2 linked regions of the Astyanax mexicanus genome follow. The protein of the gene in region 2 interacts with the protein of the main gene of each other region in a pairwise test. Links are inferred from orthologs where the notes say so. Each region holds a gene or a part of one and is shown on either strand. Other genes may lie near its edges. The genes, in order: fam131c and hpcal4.

Region 1 (16,128 bases), on a different chromosome or scaffold from region 2:
TAGTCTTTTCTGAAAGTTTCTGGTAAATTCACACGTATTTTCTGCCTTATTTCTTTTGGGAAATGCAAAATATTCCCAATGAGCATTTTACAATAAAATAAGTAAGTTACAGGTGCTCTCTGACACAGTATTAGTATTATATTTTAACACATTTTAATATAACACCCCTTAACCCAAGTAAAATCACTGAAAGGCACAGCCATGCATGTACACTTTATTAAAAAAGGGTTCTTCAAGGGTTCTTTAGTAAAAGTCACAGTTCTAAATAGAAACGTGAGGACGTGTGGAACCATTAAAATGTATAAAATCTTCTTTACCTGGTTAAAGGGTTCTAAATTACAAGGAAAACCTCTTGCATATGGTTTTTATTAAACCTCTTATGGTTTGTGAATTCACACTAAACCACGAAGGTATGAACACCACAGTTCATACAGTCATTGATAGTATTGATAGGGTAAATAATGTGTGCAAACATTTCAAACATGCTAACATTTACACACTATTGGCTTTACCAACCTGAGGGAAAGAGCACAATGCTAGTGTAAACAAACTGTAACTTGTAAAACTGCTGCTAAAATAATAATAAAAAAAAATTACTCTTATGCTTTTAGCAGGTTCGGTTGCTGTTTCCTTTGTAGATAATATAATCTTACTTCTGCATAGCACCAAATGGGATTCCACATCAAAGAACCCATTTCAATATTATGAAAAGTCCTTTTTATGGCTGTATGTTGCTTTTATCCTATTTAAATTATCTTCTGGGGTTTTTTTTATATATATTTTTGCAAGATTTGAAATGCACAACTCACAATGCATTTTTCAGTATCTCAACATCTTTCCAGCTACTTTTTACAGTTTTTTTTATTTGATTTGATTCAAGGTTTCTACATTTGAACAGCTTTTGCTAATTATTTGCTGTAGAAATGAATGTTTTCACACCTTTCAAAGGCAGAGTCAATACAAATGCAAGTACAGCAGCAAACTTTTGGCACCACAGTAACCACCTGGGGTAGCAGTCACTGCCTTGCAACCACTTAGCAATATTTTAGCAAATGCCTTCAACACCACTGCAATCACCTTAACGCAGTGGAATACTCATCAAATCTAACATCCACTTAGAAACCACTCGGGATACCATAGCAACTGACAAGCAACCACCTCATCAACAAACTCATAAAACACTTACCAACAACATTGGAACCATCTGGAATACCATAGCAACAACAATACAGCCATTCTGAGCTTTCTTTAAAAGATATCATATCTGGATTCACCACAGAATCTAGATACCATCTACCTGTTACATTCTATTTGTGCAAGTAAATAAATAAATAAATAAATATAAAATAAAATAAATAATACCATAGCAGCCACATGTAAATGCCATATCAACTATTTAGCAACATAATAGGAACCTCCTAGCAACACCATAGCACCCAGCTAGAAAACCACAGGTACCAGTCACATGTAGCCTGACAATTGCCTGAAATCTACGCAACCATTCTGTGTTTCACATGTTTTAGTGTAGCTTAGTGTCTTGATTATTCACAAAATTCCCTGTGTTCAGTGTAACTAAGCAGTTCTTGTGCTTGGGGCTAAAGAAATTGATGGTGTTACTGTGTAATTGTGCACAACAGTGCTGTACCTGGACGTGGTCCATATGTGTAACTAATAAAACATTCCCACTGATTCACCTCCTCAGCTAATCACAAAGCTTTCAATACCTGTTCTGTCACAGCAGGAATACAGTAAAGTGTGAAGTGCGGAGGTGTAGTGAACATGTCCGGGCTAACTTCTGTATACATTCATACTTTAGGCAACACATTTACTGCACAGCGGATTCAGTATCATTTCCCCATATTACTTCCAGTCATCTACAGAAAAGAGCAGATCTGCTTTATGCTCTAACTGTGTATGATTATTAATTTCAGCAGGCTTACCTGTAAGCTTTGAAGAGCACTCATTTGTAAGAGGAATGTTAATGCTTCTTCACCACGTTGGCTCCTCAAAGAACAGCTGCAAAGGATAGAAAAGTACAAAATTAGACCTGAATAAGGAATGAAGACATTTCCGAGGCTCATCAGACAGAAAATGGTTTTAAAACCATCTCTGAGTTTAGACTCCATCAATCCACAGTCAGACAGATTGTGTACATATTAAATACTATTATAAAGACTATTATAACCCTCTTGACCAACATAACATGTTGAACAATCTTTGTTTTTAGATCATTTGAGAGTTGTTTTGATGAGCCCATGATGCCACTCTTCAGAGGAGATTCAAATAGGAGAACAACTTGCAATTGTCCACCTTAAATACCTTTTCTCATGATTGGATACACCTGGCTATGAAGTTCAAAGCTCAATGAGGTTACCAAACCAATTTTGTGCTTCAGTAAGTCAGTAAAAAGTAGTTAGGAGTATTCAAATCAATAAAATGATAAGGGTGCCCATATTTTGCACCGGTCAAATTGTGGTTTAACGCATATTGCACATTTTCTGTTAGTACAATAAACCTCATTTCAATCGTGAAATATTACTGTGTCCATCAGTTATTAGATATATCAAACTGAAATGGCTGTTGCAAACACCCAAATATTTAGAATTAAAAATTATTAAGATTAATAGGGGTGCCCAAACTTTCTCGCATGACTGTAGATTATGCCAAGAGCAAGGCACTTAATAGACTGCATTTTCACAAAGGAACCCAAGGTAACTTCTAAGCAACTGAAGGCCATTCTTACATTTGCTAATTTAAATGTTCATAAGCCCACCATCAAGAGAACATGGCAGGAATGCAAGAAGAAAGTAGCTGCTTTCCGAAACAGACAATTATAGGATCGTATTGACACACAAAAAGATTATTGTAACAATGGTTTGTCATGTTTTGTGGATGAGACCACAATACATATTTTTTGTGTTTAACTGAGAAGTTTATGTAAAATGGATTCAGTATCACACCCTCTATATTACTTTAAGTCTCAGAAGTAGTACAGAGGATTTTGAGGATATGTATGATTATTAAAAAACGAATAGGATTATTCACTTCAGTGAATTTACCTGTAAGATTTGAAGAGCACTCATTTGTAGGAGGAATGCTGATGCCTCTTCTCCACGTTGGGTCCTTAAAGAACAGCTGCAATAGATAGAAAAGTCCAAAATTAGATCCAAGTAAGGAATGAAGAGATTTTCGAGGCTCATCAGGCAAAAAATTGCCAAAAAAAATATAAAAAATTAGGATCTTATGGACACAGAAGACTATTGTAACAATGATTTAGGGATGAGACCAAACATCTATTTTGTTTAACTGAAAAGTGTTATGCAAAACAGATTCAGTATCATATCCTCTTTATCACTTCAAGTCTTCGAAAGGAAAAAGTAGATCTGCTTTATCCTCTAAATGTGTATGATTATTATTTTAAGTGGGTTTACCTATAAGCTTTGAAGAGCACTCATTTGTAAGAGGAATGTTAATGCTTCTACACCACTTTGGCTTCTCAAAGTATAGCTCTTTGCTGTGGAAAGAAAGGTACAGAATTAGATCAAAATGTGGAATGCGCCACCTGTTAATCATTCTGCATGGATTATTTCTAATATTCTACTGCCCCTACACAGGATATGATTAATCACTATGCTCAGCTATAAGTATACAGTGAAAAGGAAGTTAATGAGTGATCGCTGGGGTGACTTAAAGGTGGTTTTCATTACACAGCCCACCGTCAGCGACACGGGCCTGCAATTAACATGATGAATCACGTCAGCTCGGATTATGTATAAGTGTTCATGCAGACGGTCAATTACAAAACCGTAGCTGTGTATTTACTCTTCTCTGTTCTCTAATTTCCGCTCATCACCCACACTGTCCCATCAGCTTAAACATCAAGTGAGATCAAGTTCTCACATTACCAACCACAATTCAAGCCCTCCATGAAAGCACGCAATCACCCTGCTCCTCTATAGAAGCTACCTGTACTCTATGTAAAATGCTGCATGGTATGAGGGGGCTGTGCTGGTTACCTTTTATGACAGCAGATGTTAAATAAATTTCATGCCGGCTTGTGATTTCACGCATTGCCCAGGGGATTTCTGCTCACAGTGATACGGCCTCTCGGCCCATAAATTCCTGTGGTGTTACTCTATCTGCCGAGGTGGATCACTTTTAATTTCTGTTTTGGTTTCAGCACCTATCACTTCCCTTGTTTCCCAGCAGGATTTTTTTTATTTGCTTTGTTCACTGACATTCTTCTAAATGGAAATACAGCATACCATCTTCACAGATTCGGAAGAATGAAGACAAAAGCTAAAATGCATGGATTCCCGATGCCACAGATAACTTTTCTCAGAAATGATTGTGTAATAATATTGTACGGCACCTCTATGCAAGAAAAAAAAAAACATTACTTGTTGAAAACAAACATTTTCCTGGCACCCTTTTCCAAATTTTTTTTTCAGAAGTAGAAAAAAAAAAGAACCAAACCAAATGACACAAAAATATCCAGTATTACATCTATGAGTGGCAAAAGTGTATAAAACCCTTAGAATTAGAAGCTGATCTGAAGGTGAAATTATGGCTTAACAATGAGGTGTGAGCGGGCAGAGTGTTGTTTTATTTAAAGAACAGGAATGTATTACCATCTAAAAAAAAAAACACTGAAAAAAAAAAATCAAGAAATGTATCTGGTAGCAAAATCCAAAGATAACATGGGCCGTGCAGCAAGACAATGACCCTTAGAACACAAGTAGTTCTACGAAAAAAATGCCAAAAATGTCAAAGTGCTGACCTTAATCCAGTAGAGATGGTGGAAGGACCTGAAGTGACTTACTGTGAGAAAACCCACCAACAGAGCTGAAATTGTCCCTCGCTATCTTTAAGAAACTCCTGAAGACAGAGCTCTCTTCAAAGACCACTTACTTGTGTAACACCTCTAACAAACTAACTACTTCTAACGTCATTTCCTTCTTCACCTCCTTTCCTCCTCTATCCCACTATTTTCCTTTGACCTCCTTTAGGCCCTGTCTAAAAAAAATTTTTTTACCTTAAACTTCTATTACTAAATGTACATCAGTCGCTTTGGACAAAAGCGTCTGCCAAATGTTATATAATGTAATGAAATTGTTTTTATGGAGGAAAATTGGAGGTCTAAAATTTCTCCAAGCTGATGTGCAGAACTACTTAACATTTACCAGAAATGTTTAATTGCAGTTATTGCTGAAAAACAGGTTACCAGTTACTACAGGCAAAGGTTCACATAGTTTTACCACTCAAAGATGTGTAATATAGGATATTTTTCTCAATAAATGACTTGAGTTAAATATTTTGTCCATTTGTTTAATTTGGTTCCCCTTATCTAATTTTAGGACTGAAAATCTTAAAATAGATTATTCAAATGGGTTCACAAATATTTAAGCAGCACTGTGCATTTGAATCATATAAATCACAGATACATAGAGGTAGATGAATGTAGAGCTCAAGGACTCTTATTGGTCCTTTTATTCAGTGTGGTAAGCAGCCGCCCAGCTCAGCCAAAGTATTAATACCTAGTCTGCCACAGGTAAGGCCGTGATGCTACCCACCAAACTACCCCAACCAAATGAAGTGAAATGAAAAGAGTGTGTGGGAATGGGCAGAGAAAGAGAGTGGAAAGAGTCTATTAGTAGTTAAACACAGAATGGAATTTTAGCATGTGCCCACAAAACACACAGACACAGAGTAGAGTAGTGTGTGTATGTGTATTTATGTGTGTATGTGTGTGAGAGAGAGTGTGAAAGAGAAATAGGCCCTATTAAGACATATCCAAACCAAAATGATGGCATTAAGATACTTCTTAAAAATGTTAGAACTGTGCTTGCTTTCTTTCACCACAGAGTGTCAGCTTTCCCTCAAAACACATTACAGCTCCTCTCGCCCTCTCCTACTCACAGTCTGTAGGTTAGCCGAGGCTAGCAGCACTAGCAGCTAAATGACAGGCTGTAACTTTAGCATTAAAGTGAGGCCTAGGTCATTTAGGTCATTTTTCTTTGCTTTGTTGAAGAGTGTATCATAACAAACTGAACCTAAATTAATTATCAATAGGACATCCTCACATAGCTAACATACACATAGCTTTACATATAGCTAGTACACTTTAATTGGTAAGGTTCTACAATACAACTCAAATAATATCACAGTTTTACCTCATAAATTCATAAACATTAACACAAACATTTTAGTTTTTAAATCTTTAAACAAGCCCATGCTCCATGAGAAGAGCCCGTCTTCACAAAGGTGTAGCAACGTAAGGATTTTTCCAATTGCTTACTAATTACTAGTACTAACTAGTTTTTGAGTATGAAGTACGCAGGTTAGAATACATAACATGTAAAAGCTGAGTATACTCAGCACACTGGTTTATTTTTTTTATTTATAACTCGCTCTCCAGCTTTATGCCATCTTATAGTTACCTGATCCATGATTTCTAAGAACAACAGTAATTATCAGACTCACTGATTTTACTGAACTGGGAAAATCTGCTGTTAGCTTCAGAGCACCAGAGATTCACTACAGGAATCTCTAAAACTCAGCTTCCTGCTGTCGCTAAATCATTCATTCATAATTTTAGTTAACTACAAACTACCTTCAGACAGCCTGTAATCTTTTTTATTTGTTTAATTTCTAAATCATCATTTTATTTTACATTTTGACCTATTTGAACTATTTAATTTATTTGTACTCTTCAATATTTATTATAATCTTAGTGTTATTTTAGTTACTTAATATCTTTTGCCTTCTATTTTTATTTATTTGTGCTTTTTTTACTCTTACTCTTTAACTTAACTCGTATTTGACTGCTTTAATATTTAGTCTGTCCATTCTTTTAAATTAAATCTAAGTTGCATGTTTGACTTGTTTTTTGTTTTGCCATTCACTTTTTATTGTTTTGTTCATGAAGTTTAACCTGATTAAAAACTATTTAATTGTACCTTTTTAAATCTTAGTTAGTTTTAGTTACTTCATTTTTTGTCTTCTATTATTTTTTGTGTTTGTTGATTTGTATTATTTTAATTATTTAACGTTAACTCTTAACTTGACTGCTTTAATTTTTAACCTGTTTACTCTTCTTTTATTTTGAATTACTTTAATTCTTCTCAATTAAATCTTAATTGTTTGGTGTGGTTTTTTTTTCAATACTTTTGCCATTTAATTTGTACTATTTTGTTCATAAAGCTCCTTAATTTAGCTAACCACAGTTTAAACTGGGCCATGCTGTTTATATTCAGTAATTTATAGAGCTGACCACGCTAACTAGTTAATGCTCTTGTGGCTGAATACAATTAATCCTCACAGCAATGTTCTCACAACTTGTGTAAAGCTTACCCAGTAGTCTGGAGGGAGTTCTCATTAATATAATTCCAGTACAGAGAAAGAATAGACGCTGTGTTAGATTAACGCTGCTTGAAAAAATTACAAACTACTCAAAGTTTGAATTAGTAAAGAGTCGGTTCGGTAAACTGAATCGAATCCGTGACTCATTAGTTGAGAGGTGCCTGGAGCTGGAGAGCGCGGTTGCTAGGCAACAGGGTGTCGAGGCGCTCGCGCTGTGAAAACAGAGCAGTGTTTGTGTTAGAGATTAAACTGAGTTTTAGGGAAACTCGTCTGACAATACTTTCGATTTGAAGCCTCAAGCTCAGACAAGAGCAGTTTATGAGCGTCTACACACTGAGAACGTGTGAAATAAAGGAATGTTTAGGTTAAAATTAGCCAAATGTGTTTACTGTGTGATGCAGGGGTGATGAGTACTGAGCAAACAATAAGAATAAATGTAAAACAAATACAGTACCAGTCAAATGTATGAGCACAATCTTCTCATTCAATGTTTTATTTATTTAACTCATTCATTTATTTATTATTTTATCAAAAAAAAAGTTGGTCAGGTTTAGGTTCAGCAACAGTATGTGCTGAAAAAATGAGGTCAGCTGACTACCTGAATATACTGAATATAGACCAGGTTATTCCATCAGTGGATTTTTTCTTCCCTGATGACACAAGCATATTCCAAGATGACAATGCCAGAATTCATGGGGCTGGAATTGTGAAAGAGTGGTTCAGGAAGCATGAGATCATCATTTTCACATATGGATTGAGAGTTCACCACAGAGTCCAGATCTTAACCTCATTGAGAATCTTTGGGATGTGCTGGAGGCTTTGTGCGGAGGTCAGACTCTACCATCATCAATGCTGCAAGATCTTGGTAAAAAAAATTAATGCAACACTGGATTGAAGTAAATCTTGTTACATTGCAGAAGCTTATTGAAACAATGCCACAGTGAATGCGTGATGCAATCAAGGCTAAAGATGTTCCAACCAAATATTAAAATGTGTGAGTGTATTATACCTCCTTTTACACAAGTTAGATTAGGTCTATGTGCTATAAAAACATGTTTACTCGAACATAAAGATATCTCACCAGCTCTATTCTTGCCTGTATTTTAGTCCCTTTTAGAATAAGTATTTTAAAGGAAAAACTTGTGTGAAATGGACTTGGGCTGTAGTGAAACATAATAATGAGTACAAACTATTGTCGAATAACCCACCTTTGTTTACCCCCAGGATTCTGAAATACAGCAAACTTACAATGCTTGAGATAGCATAGCAGTACCCATGCAAGATAATCTCCATTATTACACCAATAACAAGTTAAAAAATTCTCCACACTTCATTGGTAGAATTCTGAGAGCCCTGACATTTAAAACGAGGCACTAAGAACTTTGAAAGTGAACAAATATTTAATTAAAAACATTTGACTGATGAGCATGACAAAATAGGTAAGATAGGGGAGCAGACAAAAACTAAAAAAAGTTATTTAAAGTGATAACGTTCCTCTGTATATGTTATGATATGTTTATTGAGACTAAACCTTAAAAAGGTATTGTTAAATGGTATTTATTTAAATTTAAACAATTGTTCTGCAGATACAAAAAACACATTATTTTGATACTGACCTTCAGTGCTGATTACACAATGTTGAAAAACGTATTAAAACATACATTTAAATGAACTAAATTAATTAAAATGAACCCTACAGCACTATGAGAAGTTTGAGCATCCTTAAGAAGGTGTGATTTGTTGTGTTCTCGTGTGTCTGCACCTTGCTAATAGAGCACTAGAGGGAAGCAGAGAGCTGTCAGTTCTTCATTCACTTTTCAAAGTGTTTTTAAGGTAATGATATTTAGATTGTGTCTCTATTAGGATTTGATTTATTCATGTCTTGTTTTATGAAATCATTTGATTATTATTTATCATATTTATTTTGACGTAGACATGATCATTTAATAATTTAATTTGTTGCAATCTTAAGTTGCAGCAAACATCTTACAGCTTACAGTGAAAGATCATCATTATTGTATTATTGTATGAGGGCTCAATGTTCCCCAGTCCTGTTTCATTCACAATAACATCCAAAAGTGCTGCTGCCTTCTGTCTCTTGTTTTTCCTTCCTACTTCACACCATCCATCTTTTACAGTTCACTACATGTGTGAAGAGGTTGTAGTTTTCAGTGAGAGTGAGCAAAGGGTGTGAAGGTTGGGGGGTAGAGGGAGAACGGAGCAGAGAGGGAGAGAGGGAGAGGGGGAGGAGAAAGGAGGAGTGTAAGGGAGGGACATGGAGCAAGCAGGCAATGTGTGCTCATGTTTTCTTTCCCCTCTCTCTCTCTCTCTCTCTTTCTCTCTCTCTGTGTCTCCCTATCTGTCTATCTATCGCCTACACCCCCCTCCACTCTTTCAGCCCCACAGATGGCAGGAAGTGCTTCGCTCTATCTGAGACATCAAGTTCTTTCTTTTCTCCCTGACAAATTCCTGCTTATTTCTCAGCTTTTCTTTATTTTACTGCTTTTTTCCTCCCCCTTTCCAGAAGACCCCCATCTCTGAAGCTCTCTCACTCATCCCTGATCTTCCCCCTCTCATCCTCTCCTCCTTCAGCATGGTGAACAGATAACTACCTGGCTGATGGTCACCATGGGCGCCTGCCTCTGCAAAGGTCACCAAGGTCAGTTCCTATCTCACTGACTTGTCTGTCTGTCTGTCAGTCTTTGTCACTGCTCTGTCTGCTTGTCTTTACACGACTCCTGTGGTCTGATCGTCTAACTGTCTGCCTGTTTAATCGTCTCTAAGTTTGTTATTCTGCTGGCATAGTTGCCTGCCTGAGAATCTATGTAATTATCCTGTCTGCTTCTCTGAGTTTGGACTTTTTTGGTCTCTCTTAAGGGTTAATAACAGAAGGCTATGTCAGAATGCCTGTCTATGTATGTCTGTTTTTATCAGATTGTCACACACAGATGGTTATATTGGCATCCTCATTGATACTGTTTACTAGGGGTGGGAATCGATTACTATCTCACGATTCGATTCGATTCCGATTTTGGGGGCCACGATTCGATTCAAAATCGATTTTTGATTCAAAACGATTTGAATTATAAATATTTCTGCTTCTGGCTTATGAATCGTATTGAAAAAAAACCCTCCATAATATACACTGGTCCTGGAGCAAGTAATGTGTTACAAAAACAATAAAATGTGCAGGAATGTGGGTCCTCAGTGACAGAGGAATCACTGGGATATCACAATGACGTTAATGAACAATAAATACATAAATAAATAACACTGCTTTATTACCAGGCTACTAGCGGTGGTGTGTAGGTGACGCTGCTGGGCTGATGTGATGATAGCATTGGAGCGCTAAAGTTCAGGAGCAGCTGCTGATTAACTAGTTAATTTAAGGTGGTTGTATTTCTTCAGAAAGGGGGCAGGAGGTGGAGAAATTAATTCATATTGTCCATTCCTTAATTCCTCTGTGATGAGGAGCTGAAATTAGCTCTGATTAGCTTATTGTTATTTTTCCGTTCCGCCTTAAATGCTGCAGCCCGCTGCCACCTGTAGCGTTATTTAAGGTGGAACTGGAAAGTTAGCTAGTTAGCTAGCTAACAGTTACTGAAACTAACTACTAGCGATCTTTTTTATGCTTGTTATGAAGCATTCTGCCATAAAACATTGAAACTACACGTTAATCTAAGGTAATATAGTGCTTGTTCTGCCATCTTACCGGCGATTCTCAAACACCTACGCTCTGTGTGGGTCTGGGAGATCTCCGTTTGAAGGGACAAGCGCTATCCCCAGGGTTGCCAGGTCCAACAAAAATACCCAGCCCAAAATCAGTCTAAAACCCGCCCCTCAGAATCGATTTTGGGACATTTTAAATCGATTCTGAATCGTAGTAAATGAGAATCAAGATTCTTATGTGAATCGATTTTTTGGCACACCTCTACTGTTTACACTGTTGACTCAGTGTGGATACTAGAGGTGTTAGAACATATCAGTCTATATATAATCAATAATATCTATCAAAATATTGCAGTTTTTTTTGCATTACTGTATCGATTGGTGTAAAGATGGGTGTTAGACAGTAGTTAATTTAGTGTTGTTTTTAAACCCCGCCCACTAGATTATAGAGTGTAGATAGTGTTGTACTCTGTCATCCCACTGTTCTGATTGGATACAAAGTAAAAACTTTTTTAAACTCTGATTTTTTAAAGATCATGTTTTTTTTTAACTATAAGAGTTTTCCTAACATTTTATATAATCAATAACAATGTTTCACTTTGCTTACAGTATCATAATATATTGTAATATAATGGATCATAACCGCTTAATTGTAATGCAAATCTTATCGCAGAGTTCACGCCAAGTTCATGCCAATACACAACCGGAGGTTCTTCAAGGTTTCTTTTAGTAAATTAGTTTGATATAGACCACTGAGTGCATTTACATGCACGTCAGTAACCTGATCAATGATTTGATTTATTTCTCATTGAACTTGGGAAATCAGATGATGGGAAAACTTTAAATGTAATGGGCGGGGAAATAATCAGATTTTTGCTTTGCAAGCAGCCAATAAACTCACATAATAAGAAGCTGAGCTTAGCAATATGATAATATCTTATTGTATTATGATACATTTGACAAAATATACACATTTCTGAGTATATGGTAATTAATTGATCAGTAGTTGAAAATTGTTCAACTTCTTCAGTTTTAGCGTCGCTCAGAATGTGTTTGTTGCCATCTTGCGGGTGCTGTGGCTGTGGTCTGTTTTCGTGCATGCACAGACTGAGACATCCGAGAGTACACAGGTTAAGAGTCTGCACTGAGAAATTAAATTACTGAGCTAAATTCTAAGAAATGGAAGTAAGCTATACCTATATGACTACTTGAATAATCAAATAACTACAGTAATCCATTTATAATCAGATTATGATCCCTGCTAAAAACAAAATCCAGGTCAAGGACAGCTGGTCATCCAGAAAAAACATACCCTATGCTGGTCAGGAGGTTCTCAACGAGCTAGCCAACTAGCAAAGGGTATGTTTTTTTCAGCAATTGTATAGCAGGGATGTGCTTGTAAATGCATTAAATGACAACTAAAAAAAACATTTAAATTATTAAAATCTTCTTGAAAACCTGCTGAATATAGTTAAATGTGGCTCTATATATATAGCAATAGCAATACAGAGTTTCCATAATATTATATATTATACCAACCGGACAAATACAATCTAGTTAAGGAAAAAAAGCTTCCAGGAAGAACCTTCCAATGTCTGCCTTTGTAAATAGGCAGTTTTGTAAATGAGATGAGTGACCTTTTTAAACTTTAACGAACCTTGACATAATGTGACGTCTGCATCAATTAAAACTTGTTCTGTCGGCCAGACGTCCAAGGCGAGAAGCGTTTAGGAAACCCAAGAGTGTTCTTAATTACGGATTAACAGCAGAGCGGCGGTCCACTGTTTCATTTGTGTCAATCACAACAGGAAGGGGTTGGAGACATGCTGAACTCATTTTCATGTTCATGGAGCCAGATACTGACCAATCCATTATCATGCTGGAAATATCCATTAGAAGATGGGCAAACAGTGGTCATAAAGAGACGCTCAATATTCTATTGCATTAAAGCAATGTTTGATTTGGATTAACAGGCCCAAAATGCTTCAAGTAAACAGTCCCCACACAAACACATCACCTTTATCAGCCTGGACTGTTGACACAAGGCAGGTGGAGTCCATGGATTTAAAATGTTGACACCAAAGTATGATCCTACCACATGTCAGTGTATACGGAAATAAATGGATGTTTATCAGATATACGATATTGGAGATAACATATCAGATATCAGCATTGCCCAACAATTTCCATATCAGAACTCATACGTGTAGAGTACAATTTACACACAGACATGGACAAACTCACAGACAGATAGACAGACAACAACACCTTCTGTGAAAAATGAGGTTGATTTTTTTTGTTTGGAAAAAACATGAGATTTGAAAGATCTAATATTTGAAAGGCAATGTAAACATGTCACCCACATGACGGAAAAAGAAGAGAAGGCTCTGTAAATCCTGTATGGCTATAACTGTCATCATCTGTCTTCTCCTGTCAAAGTTAAATTGCATGGAAAAGCAGAGATGACAGGTTTGCAGGATGGGATCATCATGTTGCTTCATGCTAGTGAGAAGTGTTACAGTGGCTGGCAGTGATAGCGTCTGAATATGCCACCCCAGAGGCAGTTGTTTTAAAGCATTTACTCTCGTTTTGCAGCACTTCAGAGTTTTCTGCGCTTCGACCTCCTGTACTGAAAGACTTGACTGCACTGATTAGTGCAGCCAATTTAACATGCAGAAAGAAAAAGTGACTGGTTTTACATGTTGAACTCCCTCAGCCAGCCTGCACTGTTGAAACCAGACAGCTTGGGTGCAAATTTCATGCTGTTGGCATCAAATTCTGAACCTAATCTAATGTTATCAGACCAGGCTACGTTTTTCTATACTTTAGCTGTCGAAAATTGGTGGGTCTGTGCCCACTGCAGCCTCAGCTTTCTGTTCATTGTTCACTTGATTCAAACTGAGACAGCTACTTTTGTTTGGACTACAAAACCGTCACCTTTAATGCTTCTATTTTGGTCCAAACTAACTAAAAGGTTTGAACCAAAGGTATGTAAAAGCAATGGAAGTGATGTATCTACTAGATTTGATATACATATATGTATGTGTAAAAATTCTCTCCATTTTGGAAAAGCACTTCCAATGTCAGCTTATTTTCTTTGTTAGACCATTCTGAATAAATTCCAAAGATTTTTGCCTGAAAATCTCAGATGATCAGTAATTATAGCAATACTCAAACCAGTCCTTCTGGCGCCAACAATTATGCCACGCTCAATTTCATCCCTGACAACACATCACTGTTGCTTGATGTTAGTGAGAAGTGTTACAGTGGCTGGCAGCGATATATGTTTTAGAGCATTCACTCTCATTTTGCAGCACTTCAGGGTCTTTTGCTCTCCGACCTCTTGTACTGAAAGACTTGACTGTCCTGATTAATGATTAGTGCTGCCAATTTAACATGCAGAAAGAAAAAGTGACTTGTTTTACATGCCTAGAAATCAAGAGTTATCAGACCAGGCTACGTTTTCCTAGATTTTAACTGTCCAAAATTGGTGGGTCTGTGCCCACTGCAGCCTTAGCTGAACGGCTGAAAGGCTCGACTGCCTGATTAATGAGTGCCGCCAATTTAACATGCAGAAGGGAAGGACTTGTTTTGGATGTTTAACTGGTGCAGTATGTTGCGATGGCGGAGCTCCCAGAGGATGAGATATAGGTGAAGTCTCTCCGGGCTTCTGACTTTATTAGAGAGAGTATAGAGAGAGAGAGAGAGAGGAAGAGGAAGAGAAAAAAGAGAAAGCCCTCTGTTCTCATCTCTGTGCATCAGGTGGAGATCCTCTGGAGAGATAAGAAAGGAAGAGAGATCAGAGTAGTAGAGGCTCAGTGTGGGCAATATGATGATTACTGTGATATATTTTGTTACAGTTTCCTTTCATGAGTGAATTGTGGGATTTGTTTCACTAAAACTACAATAGTGAATGTAAACAAGATTCACTATATAGAATAGAATAGAAGAAATAATGAATGAATAATGAATGTCAGCCTTTTACATCATCTTTAATGTTCAATTATATTTAAATTTATATATTTATATATATTTATATAATATATAATTTATTCAGCTCTGGAAAAGAGTGTTTTATTCCGTAAACTATGGACAACATTTCTCCCAAATTCCACATAAAAATATTGTCATTTAGAGCATTTATTTGCAGAAATGAGAAATGGCTTAAATAACAAAAAAGATGCAGAGCTTTCAGACCTCAAATAATGCAAAGAAATCAAGTTCATATTCATGTTCATGATTTCAGAGTTTAGAAAACATCTTGCATGTTTTCCTCCACCAGTCTTACACACTGCTTTTGGATAACTTTATGCTGCTTTACTCCTGGTGCAAATATTCAAAAGCAGTTCAGTTTGGTTTAATGACTTGTGATCATCCATCTTCCTCTTGATTATATTCCAGAGATTTTCAATTTGGTAAAATTAAAGAAACTCATCATTTTTAAGTGGTCTCTTAATTTTTTCCAGAGCTGCATATACATTATATGCATTAATATATCATTCTACTCACACTATGCCTGTTTGCCCATAAACCTTTTAATGTCACCCACCTTGTAGGAACATTAGATAGAATTCAAGCAACACAACCCCTAGCTATGAAGAGGTGGTGAATACAACACTGAATCGATTTTCCCTTTGAGGTCCCCCTTTTATTCCCGGCCATGAACACAAAGCACACCTCTAGGATCTCCTTTATGGAGAGGCTTATCATCTTATCATGTTCCTCTCATACTCCACAAATCGGTGGCTATAGCAGATGTGTCTGTTCCTAGTGCGCATCACACTACCCTGTCTGAAGGGAATGTGTTAGCATTTTACTCTGGTGCTGCCCACTACCAAAATCCTGTTCTTAATACTAAAAAGTTAAACCTATAAATAAAACTGTTGCTGTGAAAATAGTTAAGTGTATTTACACTATGGTAGGTTCTTTGTAATGAGCTCCTTTGAGTTTATCAGTCACCACCTGTGTTAGGTTTCACACTGTAGTTTAGTACGCATTAGTGCGTTGGAGGGTGGGGTAGTAATGTTTATGTTTGTGCTTTTATTGCTGTATATAGCGAATGGGGGGAGGGGGGGGGGGTGTTAGATTTCAGCACAA
Region 2 (15,818 bases):
GAGAAACAGCGGCTCAAATGAATACATAACACACACAGAAAACGACATAGCTGTGCTGGCTCGCGTGAGCTCCCTCTGGATCATTTTAAATTAGAATCTCTGAAGTGAAACAGGTGTTGTTTCTATAGCAATATTCCTCTCCTCCGGCAGTGTGAAGAAAACTCTTCTCTGAGGACGACAGGGCCAGAACACAGGTCACCGTGCATGCACTCTGCACCTCCACAGCCTGCAAGTGCTAAACGCTCTCATCTGTATGTGTTAATGCAGTGCTCTGGCTTCTGTGACAGGTTATTCTGGGGATTTTCAATATTTCTTTTTTAGGCAGATCTGCTTATTTAACAGCAGATTCTTTGTTGGGTCCTTCAGGGGTTTACCTGTCATTGTTGCACTGGTTTGCTCTTTAAAGGCTTAAACTCTTATTTCTTTAAAGCTGCTTTGTGACATTGTGACAATAGTAAGCATTACATGATATAGGTAGGGCTGCAACTAATGATTTGATAATAATTTGACGATTATTTCTGCCACGTCCGCCATCTCTAAACATGAGAGAAAAAGGGCGTTTAAATGTCTAGATGACGTTTAAACGTAAAAAGTACTGATAATTAGTGAATAAATGTATTCTGTTGTGTTTGGGCACTTTTGGAGACACAGACTAACTTAACTGTAAATTGTGTGAGTGAGCCATTACCCATCTACCATTGCACTTCTGTCCCCATAACTTTGTGTAATGTGGTACAGTTACTGTTATGAATGATTAGTCGACAATGAAATTTGTAGTCGACTAATTTAAATAATAGACATTGATGCAATTTAATTGTAAGCAAGACAATATATTGTGATTGTTCACATTAAATTTTCAGCAAACACTATCATATTTATAACATCTTATTAAAAAAATCATACATTTTTTGCCATTAGATGGATAGAGTACAGCACTACTATCTACTGGTCATGTTTTAAACAAAACACAAAATGAAACCACTGTCTGCCATCAATCTTTACATTTATACTTACTTATCATTAAAAAACAATACTGTGATTTTAACAATTTATACACTATTTCAAGACAAAATGTTGCAATTCTTTGATATTAATATTTTCTTACACCCCAATATTTTCTTAGTATGTATGTACTTTTTGGGCAAAATTGCTCATACATGATGTTTAAAGCTATTTACAACCCTCAGAATGCAACTCGCCAGTTTTCCTATTATGTTACCTTTGCAGAATATACAATAGTTTAATTATTGCTAAGGCCTACCCAGATAATGTTACAGTCACTGATAAAATAAAAGTGCATTCCCCTCTGATGTGTGTTAGGCTATAGTTTAATTAGAACTATATTTGTTACAGTTGCATATTTATATTATATTTCTATGTCACATCAGCCACTTTCATAATCAATGTCATTGCACACTGCACTTTGCTCTGTTAATTATTTAAAGATCAGCAACAACTGCACTGCTCTGTTTACAGATATGTATCTTACCTTGTATAGTACGTTTTTGTATAGCCTTATATATATATTTTTTTTTCTCTCTCTTTTCTTCTTCTTTTTCTCTATTCTTCTGTTTTAATTTATGTTTGAATCTGTTTCTTATTGTATTGTGTTGTTGCTGCTGGATGCCTAAATTTCCTTCGGGATAAATAAAGTATCTATCTATGTATCTATGTATCTATCTATGTATCTATCTATCTATCTATCTATCTATCTATGTATCTATCTATCTATCTATCTATCTATCTATCTATCTATCTATCTATCTATCTATCTATCTATCTATCTATCTATCTTTATCTACCCTGCACTGTGAATTTTAACATGTTGTGTTCAAAAAAACAATGCAAACATAATAAGATAATAAGAACACATTTAATCACCAATTTATGTAGAAGTCTGAGTAATCCCAAAGGGTTCACATACATTTTCTTGCAACTGTATTTGGGGTGAGTGAAAATAACTTAAGTCAAGAGAGTAAAAAATTGAAGCATGTGTTAGTCTTCGCCCTCCAGGTATGTTGGGGAATTACTAGTGATAGGGGGAGTCCTAATGAGTGGGTTGGGTAATAGGCAGTGTAAACTGGGGAGAAAATGGCAAAAATTTGTGTAAAAAAATGGATTTGGGTTTTCCCATTCTACAGTCCTGTTTTTTTTTGAAGGAGAAAACAACATGGTTTAATGTTCATAGTTTGTTAAGTTTCACATACTATGGCTCTGTCAATTCTTAATCAGTTTAAATATCTGATGATATGTTCACTATATGTCCAAATGTCTCTGGACACCCTTCATAATACATCCATTAAGCTACTTTAAGTTTCACCCAATGCTGACAAAAATGTGCAAATACACACATACAGCTTGTCTACTGCCAGTAAAGAAGTACTGCCAATATTATAGCACCCCCTGGAGAGGATAATCATAAAGCATATTCGTACTATACTTAATGCCAGGCATGGGCTCAAGGGGTTTAAAGCCCCCCAGCATTAAGCTGTAGAGTAGTGGAACTGTGTTCTCTGAAATAATGGCGCTCCATCTAAAATCTAGTAAAAAGACTTTCCACTTAGTTACTCTAACAAAAGCAATACTTTTGTCCACATCATCCTTAATTCATAAATATCTACAGGAACAGTTCCCACAGAGCAACTACAGGATCTGGGTTCTTTACTCTTAAGCCCAAGAACAACAGCCTTCAGTTGTGACCTACACACTTCTTCAGAAACAGTCAAGTTCTCAGGAACTGTCCTATGCTTTTATATGAAATATAGATTAGTTACAGTTTAACAAAATTATCAGCTGATACAGATAAGTGTGCTGCATTTATAGGGCATTACTGCTGTTGATCTTTAGTAGCGTTAGTATCTTTCCGTTTCATCTAAATTTCTAACTAAATAACTGTGTTATCTTCCTTGCATCTCAAAGGTACATGATAAAAACAACAGTGCCAACTCCACCAGCTCATGGGGCTATCCTGGCAAAAATAAATATAGTGTAGGAAACCTTGCATCACAACAACTTAGTCCCCATGGGTGACAACTGGCACTGGATCATCTACATGTGCCTCTGAGGCTGACAGTAATGAGCAAAACTGTAATTGGTTCTATGGTCCTAACAGATAATGCATATGATATATAGCTTAAAAAAATAAAAAAAGATAAGACTTGACAGTTCATGATCAGCATAACAAAGGTATATTATAGATGTTTGAATAATTATAAATATTTGCAATATCCATTTGCATTTAATATAAAAAAAATGTTTAAGAGCAATAGAACACAAACTGTAATATTAACAGATATGACTTTTATGATTAATTCTACAAAACCTTCTAGAATGCAAAACTAATATCCACAAGAGTCTACTTCCAAACAATACAGATAAACATTGGTTAGCAAAACAGAGATTTCTCTACATCCAAGTCAACAGGTGCACTGCACCTGATGCCTAAGAAGACCTTAAGCAAGGAGTTCAGACTCAGGGCCTTAAGAAATGCAATTAGGACTAAGTAAACATCTAATATGCAGGCCAGCATATTACATTACCACTGTGCTACATTAGAATCAAGTTTCCTTATATTCCTTATACTTTGACTAAAGACTACAACTCTCAATGTTTTTAATCCAATTTCCTTCTGTTCGTTTTGATAATATTTCCATCCACAGATATGAAAATGCTTGCAGTAGCATGTATGACAGGTTTAAACAAAAATTACACAATGCCTTATGTAGTTTAGTATATAATGAATAATGTGCTATTTGAGATCTAGACAGAAAAATATGACAAAAAGCCTAAGACAACAGAAAAATTTAATCTTAACTATTTTTCTTCTATTGTCTTCAGTCTTCAGTGACCAAAACTTTACACTGCACATTAGGCCTAGATCCTTGATGGGACCCACGTGAGATTAAGGTAATAATGGAAAAACGGAAAGAAAAAAACATGTACAAACCCATTTAGTGACTGCGCCCACCTGGAACCCACCAACCCCATGTTCCATGACTGCAGTTTTGGAGTATCTGCAAATTGTGTACAATGTACAACACATTTCAATCACATCAAAAGTTTAGCTACATCTGTATGTCTTATAAAACTTAAAACAAATTGTGGCCTACACATATTGTTTCCAAGTGACAGCAGTCAGGTCCTCATCAGTGATACGCTATGGACGCCACACTCAATTACAAAAACAACGCAGCACCCAGCTGGGTCTATTAGAAGAGTGCTGGATTTAGCCAGTTACAGAAAGCAATTCCCTCTGGAAGTATGACTCTCAGACAAACTGGAGATTCTTACTGGACTCAAACTGTGGATTCAATCAGTAAATCACATAAAATACAGTACCTCCTTAGCATGGCTCATAATTATATACAGTATATATACTGAAAATGGACACCTCATGTGTGTAGATATGAAATGATGTGAAATGATCTCTGTGTGACCCTTTCAACACCAGATCAGATTCTGTCAAGATCAATACACTGTAAATAGAAGGGCAGTCAAAAGCCACCCACTGCCACAGTGGAAATACCACCTGGTACGTTGTGTGCTGAGACACAGCGAGAGCAGCCATGCCAACGATGAGTCCTATTCCTCTGCAATAGTTATGTCATCCTTTGTGTCAGGCTTCGTCAGATCTGTGTACTGTAACATGTTAGGCAAGCACATGAACAATTTACCTCTGATGTCCAAACACAGCCCAGGGCAGCGTGCGATGACTCCAGCTGCTAAATGTATTTGACAGCATCTTGCCCATTGTGACAGAGCTCTCGCCTCTCATTCACATTCAAAACAGGCAGTAGAGCAAAGCGAGAGGGTGAAAAAAAAAAAGCCTGTGGTTCCTATTAGATGAGTAGAAGAGAATATCAACAGGCTGCTATCAGAGGAGCGGGGGAAAAATGGGCCCTCATTTGTTCTTCAATTCACAAATGCCTTTGTTGTTTTTCATCCATCAAATTCCCCCCGGGCTGTTTGATTAGTGCTGCTGAAGAGCCACTGACTGTCTGCAGCTTTTTGAGTGCAGCCATGTTGAATCTGCCATCCATCTACATGAGAAACGGAGCATGTGGGTAATCAATCAGTTGGCTCCGCATGAGAGGGCTACAACACCTGGCGCTGCCTGGACGCCGTTTTCTGGGACAAAATGGAGGACTGGCGATGCCCACGAGCTGCCAGAATGAGTTTTTTTCTGTGCGTGGGTGAGATTCAATGTATACAGCTGGTGCTTATCACCCATCTCCTGCTTCTAGTCAGCAGAAACAGTGCTTAGACCTACTTTAACCAGTGTGGGAATACACTCAGGCATGTACTCCACTGCACATTCCAGCAGGGTATGGTCAGCCACTCTGGAAATGCAACTCTTTGTGCTTTTAGTTTAAAAAAATACATACAGTTGCTTCTGGGTGGTGTTGCAACCATTTAATGGCACTTTTCATTGCATGGTACCTTCACTACTCAGTTCTTTGCTTTTACATTTAGCAAATATGCTACCTGGTACCTCATTTCTGATTACAATGAAGTTGAACTGGGACTAAAACTGGACATGTAAACTCTGCAGAGCACTGATTGGCCAGAAATAATTCTCACTGTAAACACTGTACAACATCTATGCAGACACCTAGCGCAAACTACCCATTTGTGATATCTCCAAGCATCAACAGTGTTCACGTAAGCAGCTTGTGAAATTACATCCTGGTCTTTTGAAGCAGTATAAACATTCCTTGGATTGGTCGCTAACAAAAGAATCCTGCAAGAGCTGCAACGCCCCCAGCTACATTCTAAAGTTAAGTTATGAAAGTGGACAATTAACCAGGTATAAAAAGCAGAGTAGTGTAGGCACCATGCAGTGGAAAAATGCCATGAGCAGTGGCATTATCATTAGGAGACTGGAGCTTTGTTAATAGGATAGCCATCCATGGTTGTGTAAACAACACAACAAAACTAGCTTTACACTTGGTGGAATCTTAGTGTGTTCATCTGTTACCTATTGTAACAGAATTGGTATTAAGTATTCTCCTCCAAGCATGTTCAGCTTAATGTGAGGAGAAGAACTAGCCTCCATCCTCCTAGCTTAGAAGCATCATATATATGTATAATATATGTATGATGAGGAACACCTAGCAAGTGGTTGGAATTTGGCTTCTCTGTAAGCAAAATGGTTCTCATTAGTACTGAAAAATGGATTTGTGACTTTTAACAGTAGTGACAGTTCTATCCAGGGCAATACCAGAGAACTCTTGGAAAAATATAAAATAAATTCAGAAAGAAATTTGGTTTGAAATCTACTTTCCTCATCTTCACCACTGATGATAAACAGTGCAGTATACGATGCAGAACATACATTGATCATTATAATGAACAGATTTGTGTATTATTTTATTTTTGGTTTGAATAATTCAAATGGATTTTTAGATTAAAGTCAGACTTTTTTTTTTCAATTGGTTTTATATCTATTTATGGTAATTATGTAGACAATAAAATGTCAGTGCACTGGTTATAGATTCCTTTCTTTTTTTCATCTTAGACTTTAACAAATTTGATATCAAACAAACTACAATGCCATAGTTGGCGTGCTGTCAAATTGTCAATTTATAATCTTGCTGTACATTGGCTTTAGGCTTCCAAAATGACATCATTATGTTCTGGAGTAAACATGCATACTCACTGTAAACAGCTCAAAATAAAATACAGCATTTTCACTTTTCACCCAATCAGACTATTATTTTCCTCAAAATGTTGATTTTCTTCATCATTGCAATGTAGAAATTTAGTGTATTTGATCTGTATATATGTATGTCTTTAGAATTTAGTTCCGCAAGGCAACTTTAAACATTACAGTTTTTCAGGGGGTCCTGGGGTAATTTTCTCTTTAGCTCTGAGAAAATTACAGCCTGAATTGTCGCTGAACTCCATGGTCCTCCGGTAATTTTAGTCCCTTCCAGACTCACATCTCTGAGTTTTGTCTCCTCGTGTTTAATACAATAGCTATTTATCCACTGCCACACAGCGTAATTACACTTTGAGCACGCATTTCCACAAAGATCTGTGTAAACACAACAGTGAGTGGAAATGGAGGAGCTACTGAACGCGATTTCATATGACCGAGAAAGCCTAAAAAGTCACTGATCCTGATCCACAGTCCTTTTTTTTCAATTACAGTCCAGATGCAAGAGTTTTATCACTGAGTAGAAGTGTGAAATATTTTACACAGACATCCCCATGAGAAACTAATCCAGTCCGGATAGGGCTAAAGTGTTACTTTACATTGCTGAATCCTAAAATAGTATTTTACAGAGTTTTATATATTTTTTCCTAAGCTCTTACTGTCTTCCAGCACTTCTAGCACATCATCTTTTTAGCACCAGATTTAATTTCGGACACTTGCTACGCCAAGCCCAATATGCTGTACTTTGTGTTTCCATTAGTTCTTTTTCAGGAGTGTTTTAACTGTAAATGTTCACCTTTACTGCTTTCTTTTTACACAAAACTCTTCATGGGACAAAGCCCTTAGGTATTCTTTAAGGAAGTGGAGAAAAACCTTTGCGATTTCACTCTTTCTTGAGTGTACAGCCACTCATAGCCTTGTACTAATGACAGGTGCAGTCAATCACTGCTACACACACACACACACACACACACTGTGCAGCACACTTTTTCACTTTTATCACCTAAGACAGGGTGGTCAGAAAATAATAGTCTTCCATACAACGTGTGCAAAAACATGTACACACACATATACACACACACACACTGATGTAACTACATCTTTGAAACCATTTAATTCTACTTCCACTTTCCACTTGCATTTAGTCACATATGTGGTAAAAACAGCATGATGGCTTGTGAGAACCCATCATACTGTCTTGTTTTCCTGTCATCATAAGGACTGGGGGTCCTCATGAAGCGCACAACACACATGCAGAAGTACTGTAGCTGAACATAAACACAGAGCAATGCAGACACAACACTGACGCACATCCACTGCCAACCAGTCAGGCAGCAACATGAGCATCACATATCAAAGTGGCTGCAGACAGACTTTCACCTCACTCTTAAGGCTTTATCACATTATGTATAATTCCTCAGTATAGCAAGGCAAACTAGCTATACCCAAACTGGCACAAGACTCACTCTGTGACAGTGCTCTTATGTCTAATTCGTATGGCATGCATGTCTTGGCTATACATAGGCTCTATATAAACTCATAGCTGCTATAAACTCAATTACAATCTATCTGCAGAATCTCATAATCTCATTTGCTGACAGAGCTGCATTATATGTGCATTGGTTTCTTTTACACCATAGAAAAAGCAGCTGATAATAAACTGGAGAAAAAAAAGATATTATAAAGGAGATAATATAATAAGGCTGGTTTTATAACAGGAGCTCATAGTTCACTCTTTCTCTAGATTAGCTCATTTTAATAGCTGTATATTTATATGATTATATGTATATTTACTGGCTACACTACAGCATAATAGCATCACACAGTAAACACACATTAAACAATGGAAGAAATAAGGAAAAAAAACTAGGACAGCGGAAAGTAGAAGCAGGGATGACTCACCCAAGTATTTCTTTCTGGTGAGGTAGCCGGTCTTTGATGTATGTGTGTGTGTTGTGTGTGTGTGTTTTGAGTGTGTGATTCACACAAGTGTGTTATCCTCTCAGCGGCTGAAGACCAGCGGGCTGTTTCCCGGAGAAAAGCCCTGGACCTGCTGCTGATTCCTCCTCCTCAGTCACAGCGAGAGTGAATGGAGCGCCCGCATCTCCCTCACCGTGTTGATATCCCGTACCCACCCGTTCACACACAGGCCACGCCCTCTGCGCTGTGATTGGCTGTTCATCCAGAAGGAATCAAAGCCTTAGCCAATGGGAAAAAAGGATGAGGGCGGGGCTTGAAGCTATTAGAGGTGGGAAATGAAAAATAAAAATAAATAATGCTAAAGACAGGTTTGTTAATTTTTAAAGAGATAAAAATCATTCTGCGGAAACCAGATGACACTTTTGATGTGCGCTCATTATAATGAAGGTAACTGACACGATTAGATTCAATTATGCTAATTAAACACTTTTATGTTTCACGTTTTATAATGTCTCTTACTTAATTAGTTTTGTTGTTTTGCTCCTTATGGAACTGGAAACACTGTGTTGTTCTTCTACAGGGAATGGCAAACAAAAAAGAATTAAAAAAAATAGAAGCAGTTCCAATTGGTTTTTCATTCGTTATTAGCATTAAATAATATCTAAGGCATTGCTTTACTGCTTACTTTTTTGACAGTTTTTTTAGTTAAGCTACTATCAATTTGTGTTTTTTACTGGCACTGTAAAAATGTTTTCATTTGTTTTTTTTAATGATGATTATGTTTGTGTGCATTAAACAATTTGACTGCACTGTCATTTTTTGATTGAGTAAATATATAAATGTTTTCCAATCACCTCTACTACTTTAACCTCTTGAGACACTGCATTCTCATATGGCTACATTACATTTTTGCTTCTCTGCACCATGATACTTCATTTTTTAAAACATTGATGCTTTGGCCTCATATAGAGACACTGTAGTCACATGACAACATTACTCTAAATTGATTGAAAACAAAATGGTGGGAATCCCAGTCCAAATTCCTACAGCCAGGCAGGAAAGAAAATGGTCCAGGTAAAAATTCTCATCCAATTTTATGCTTAAAAAAAATATTTACTTTCTGTAGAAAGCTAACATTTTGTTTTTGGACTAACTGGGATTTTCTGATCCAAAATGATAAGCATACATTTTAAATAAAATAAAATCAACTACTGTCCCCACATGAGCAGATTGTTTTTGCAAAAACGACTTCCTGTACAAAGACAATGTTTTGTTTTTACACTTGTTAGGTCATACTTATCCAAATAGCCAGGAGAATTAAAAAATGTACACCAATGCAAGTCAGTTCATTAGGCGGCCATCTTTGCCATCTATATCCACTCATACACTGACTTGTTTAAATCAAGAGGACCAAATACTCTAAACCGAAGGTCTGTTTACAATTTGAACACTGTGTTTAAAAAAAACATTGATAAAATATGAACAGTTTGCTCCATAAAGCACAAAAAAACATGATTTTTTGGCTTTGTATGACTACTGCCCTTTTTATGCCACAGTATTTTTTTTTTTTTTTTTCAAAATAAAGAGCACCGCTATTGTTGAAATGCCTTTCACAGGTCGCAGCCAATCTGACAAAATATGTACATTAAAACAAAATGTCTTGTTTTAATGTACATATGCTGCTTTCTATTTATTTGAGCTGAGGCATTTCAGTTAAAGATTCAGATAATTTCAAAAACACTTCATTAAAAAAACAGTTCGTAAAAGGTTTTGGAGTTTACCACAACTGGTTTGTTAATCATTTAAAGTGTGAATGTGGCACATTAATACAATATATTCCACGTTTTATGTCAGGTTATCGTTGTATGACTGATTTATTGGCACAGGAATACATAGAAATTGAAAGTTAACAGTTCTTACTTGAATATTCTGACATCCGAGCTAAAATATATATATATAAATATATAAATATATATATATTTCATGTGTAAAGTAAATTTGTTTTTGTGACAATGTTGTTTTTCTTTTGATTTTTGTGGCACTCACTTGCCAACCAGATATACTGGTTAAATTGAGATACTCTGATCTCAATAACAAAGGACAAGAGTGGTTGGTAATTGCTAAAACCTGTCTTATTGCTGTTTTCTTCTTGTTGTTGTTGTTGTTTGTAAGAGATGGAAACACCCAGTGTTCAGGTTTTCATCAGTTCTCAAAAAGAAACATTAGGATCAGATGTAATAATTTTCAGTCTTGATCCTCATTCAGTGTGAAATCCCAGTGGAACAGGCCTCCCATTGGTTAGCAGCTGCAGACAGCAGGTAGCCAGTCAGAAAAGTAGCTTTATCTGGATGTTTTATAATTTAAGTTATTTGCATGGAAACTGGTTTGGCCACACACCCACAACCTGTTATAAAAATAGCAGCAGTGAGCTGTGTGGATGCTGGATTCTAAAAGATGAGAGGAAGTAGAGACCACTCTCCCAGGAGCAAGAAATCCATTAGTGGATTATAGTGTTACCAGATATACACTTAAAAGACACTTAAAAGAAAAGTTCATTTAAAATAAAGTATTAACACATTTATTACACCATTTTCCACCCAAATACAACCCATCAGCCATCATTAGACATTTTTATTAGAGAGATGTTTAGTGCTGAAATGTAGTCTCTTAAGCACTGGAACTACAATGTTCGTTAACTCCAAGAATCGAAATCTCCAAGATCCTTTCTGTAAATACACACATACACACCCTGCTAAAACAACAACAGCACAGTTTACACCAACATTTGTTCCATGTTGGTTTAAGCTGCTCTGAGCTTGTTTATGACAGTTCATGCTGGTCTGTGCTGGTTTAGCCAAAATGGCTGACAAAAAAGTAGAAAAATATTTTTTTTTGTGTAACAGCAACAGTATAATGGTCTTATTTATGACCAGCATATCAGCTTTCATTGCTATTGACTGGTATACTTCCATTTAAAGCAAGACCAGAATAGACAAGTATACTGTAGATAAACTTGTCTTCTCTTGTATGTTTGTAAGCAGATTTTAAAACAGAAACATTTTAACTGTGATATTTGGGCATATCTTGTTTTTTACTGGTTTCATGCAAAGCTGATTCGTACTGGTATATGTTTTTAATCTGATTTTAAAAGGTATATATTTTAAACAAGCAGGAATTGGACAATTTGTCTGGTCTATACTGGTACACATTTTTTATGTAGTATTTAAAATATATACAACACAATTAAGCTGCAACAACTAATTGATTAAAATCTATTATTAAAATAGTTGACAACTAATTCCATAATCAATTGGTTGGGTCTATGTTATTCTACACATAAGAAGAATATAAGTTATTACACACATAAATACACATAAGTGGCAACAGTTACATCCTTTTTAAAGATATTTTCTGACTCTGGTGTCGCGTGGAAGTGTTTAAGAAACACAATCTAGTGTAAATTTACATTACATACACTGTTGTTGTGTTATTAGATAATGATAATAATACAATTAATGTAAATCTCAGGTTAATTATTCATTTAAACACCATTAGTTTTAATAATGGTAGGTTTTGTGTTCCTTATTCAATTAAACATTAGTACAAAAACAGTTTGGTTTATTAAATAAAATACTGCAAATAAAACCTTGCCTTTTTCCCTTTTTATTCAATTAATAATTGATTAATCAGAAAAAATATCAACTGATTAATTGATTATCAAAATAATTGTTAGTTGCAGCTCTAAATTCAATGGAGCAAAATTGGACATTGCTTTTTAAATAAAACCCTTCCATTTTAGAAAAGTAACATTTGATACTGGAAATCTACAGTTAGCACTATGTTCTTTGGTTACATTGTTGCATATTACATTATTACGTTATTATTACATAAAAGTTGGAATTGTCTATTTGTTTTATCTATTGTCATAGATAAACTATATGGATTTAAAACCCAAACCATGTCTATTGGTCTTCTAATATCTAACAAACTGAAATGTATATATATTTTTATACTTTATATTTTCATGTTACCTCTATACTCTGGTTGAAAACTAAAGTGTGTCATTAATGAGATTATACCGCGATCACTACTTAGCAAGCTGTGCATCAGAGGAAACATGCTAATGTATCTGAAATCTTCTGAAGATGGCCAATCATTTTAATGGCAGTTGACATAAGTGTTCTCACATGATATCTCACTCTACAGATTGTGCGTCACAGCTCTGCTGGACCGTCCACTTAGTAACCCTGCCAATCACTTATCATCTGGAAGCGTGTAATTGGTGCATGGTCTGATTCTGCAGTGATGAAAGAAGCTGGAAGGGGTTAACGGACACATCAGCACACATGTTATGTCCACATGTCTCTGCATGCTCTCGTCCTTCTTCAGACAGCGGAGGTGAGTCAGGCGATTTAAGCGCACCTAGGAAGTTCTAAAGTGGTGCGTCACGGGTGGTCAGTAATGTCTCAGTCTGGGGTCTGTTGAGCGTCTGCTTTTTCAGAAACACAGGCTGACAGTTGTGCCTCACTGTGGGTTATTGTCACAATCAATTGTGTGTAGGGGGGTGTTTTGTCCTCCCCTCCTGCTGGACATGTAGAACACCAGGGGCTGATAAGAATTAGAAAGCTGCCACATGCTCAAGTCTCTCTCTCTCTAGGGCTCTCTGTCTTTCTTGTGTACTACAGAATGTTACGTTTTCATTTTTCTTGACTGACATAAAGGTGCCCTGGAATGAAAGAAAATGTATTTATATTGAAATAATTAAATACCATGAACCTCAAATAATCTTGTGTCCTCCTTTAAAAAGAAAACCCGCATAAGTAAAACAAAGCTGTAAAACACACCAATTCCAAAACACCCAAACTGTTATGTAACAGTCTTAATTTTTATTATTGCTCACTCTAAATTTAAAAAAATCTAAATTATTCTGTAGCTAAACACAATGACATTAAAAGAACATGCAGAAAAAATGTAAAAAGGGTAAAAACTTATGCTAACTGATATTGGAAGCTTTGCTCAAAAAAGGACCTCCAATTATATAGGAAAAAGTGTTATTAGGGGCTGTTTCATAAGGCTCAGGAACAAATGTACATAAAATAATTTTGATTCTTGTACCAGCTCTACTTTTGAACCAGAGGAAAAATGTCAAAATACAGTCTACAAGGTAACTGATTGCATGCTATAGATATGAGAACAATGAAAATCAAATAATACTTTACACTCTCTTTCACCAGTTCTCATCAGTTCTAATCATACTTTACTTTGGCCATTCAGGGTATGAATAAGAAGATGAAGACATTGTTTGCTGTTCTGATATCTCTGTGTTTTCAACAGCTCTTCTAGCTGCATCCTTGGCAGTACCAGGTAACTCAGGTAAACAGAAAAAGCTGTTGTTACCAAAAATGGCCCTATGGCCTTCCCTGTTTTTTAAACAATATATGTGACTTTTCAGGAATGGAAGCAGAAGGATATTGATGCCATTTCTTAAAAAAATGTTTGCCATCTCCCCACTCAGTAGGAACACTGCTACTTTTAATTTAAAAGAAAAATCTTAAGAACTGCTACTCGAATAAATATGTCACTTTTGAAGCATACTTGTCAAAATATCATCATAGTTATACAGAAACATGCAGTGTTATGCTTCATTTTGAGCCTTCCTTCCAGACACATATAACCTGATTACATTTAAAGTGCACTTTTTAAATGATGATTTCATTTATTAAGGAAAAAACCTGTCTGACAACGTGAAACAAATAAAATTCAAAAATAGATGAGAAAACAAAGTCATTGATCATCTGTCAGTCACTTGAAAAGGAGTCATTTCTTTGAGACTCTAGCAGATCACAGTGAAAGCTATCATTCACAAACCACGGAACACTGACGAACCTTCTCAGGAGTGGCCGGCCGACCAAAAATATTCCAAAAGGGCATGGACAACTCATCCAGGAGGTCACAAAAGAACCTAGAACAACATTTAAATAACTCTCACTTGCCTCAGTTAAGAACAGTGTTAATGATTTAATAGTAAGAAAGAGACTTGGAGAAAATGGAATCCATGGGAGAGTTCCAAGGCAAAAAACACTGCTGACCAAAAAGAACACAACGGCCCATCTCACATTTGCCAAAAAAACATCTTAAAGATCCCCAGAACTTTGGGTCATAATTCTTTGCACTGACGTGACCCCCGTTACACTTTTTTACACCACTATGGTTATGCCTCTCAGTGTCGTCAACAATACATTTTGAATTCAGACTCAAAATTAGTAATGTCTCAAAGCTAAATTTGCTTACATGTTTTTAGAATGATTTAATCTGTTTTCCTAATTAATTTTCTAATAATTTACCCTTAATTTGTTAAATGCTTATTACAGTCTGTAGGTTAAAATGTATGCGTCCAGATTGTGTGTGTGTGTTTTTTTTACATTACTTCTCTACAGGGACAAGACAGGTTGGGTGTACATTTACACATCTGCATCAGCAATGGTTGCAACCTAACATAGAAGCCATTGCATGTTTGGACATACAGTATTGTGTATGTGAAGAGCAACAGTTTAACTACACACTGGTTAAGACACAGGGGGTTCTAAGTTCTGTGTCCCTGTTTAAGCATTTGAGAATGTGCTTGGGAATAAGGAGGGGTCCTAACCTGCAGATGGGAATACTTGTTCTTAACTCGACTTAGCTTTAAGTGTTTTTTGTTGACCAAAATGTGAGCTAATTAACTCAATTTAGTTAATGTGAAGTACTTTCTGTAATCAGAGCCTTTTTTATGGTGTAAAATGTATGGTGGCAAAAAAAACATCAGCTTATGCCATGAATTGATGGAGTAATTGTATCTCAGTGCTCAGAGTGGTTTTATATATGGGACTGTAATGTAAGCAGTCTTCTTTTACTGGGCCCTTCCCATCAGCCTACGCCTCCCCAATCCCACAGAGAGAGAGCCGCAGCCTCAGGAAAGCCTTATGTTTCACATGCATTCATGCACACTGTCTGAATTCATAACATACCATAACAAGGAGGCGCTCTTCTACAGTGTAAACGACCTTTCCGTCCGTTTCAAAGGGCACCTCTTCACCCCCCACCACCACCACCCTCCATCCCCCACCCCTTCTCTGCAGCTCCCACTGCACAGCCCTCCATTATAGAGAAAACAAGTTAATTAGCGTCTAGAGAGGGGGAATCTGTTCTGCCGACTAATTATGTGTGGTAATAATTAAGCGGTTGTGGGACTGCGTACACA

Evidence for each region.
Region 1: the proteins of hpcal4 (region 2) and fam131c interact in binary tests that used the Homo sapiens proteins (3 or more experiments, as listed by UniProt). The two-hybrid records come from large-scale screens. The link is inferred for Astyanax mexicanus from reciprocal best matches to the Homo sapiens genes HPCAL4 and FAM131C.

What each region holds. Positions count from the first base shown.
Region 1 is NC_064420.1:38,670,714-38,686,841, reverse strand, and holds the start of fam131c (protein FAM131C), read left to right. Parts: upstream 1-9,661; 5' UTR 9,662-9,981; coding exon 9,982-10,021; intron 10,022-16,128.
Region 2 is NC_064410.1:45,220,516-45,236,333, reverse strand, and holds the start of hpcal4 (hippocalcin-like protein 4), read right to left. Parts: upstream 8,768-15,818; 5' UTR 8,561-8,767; intron 1-8,560. UniProt on the Homo sapiens protein: May be involved in the calcium-dependent regulation of rhodopsin phosphorylation.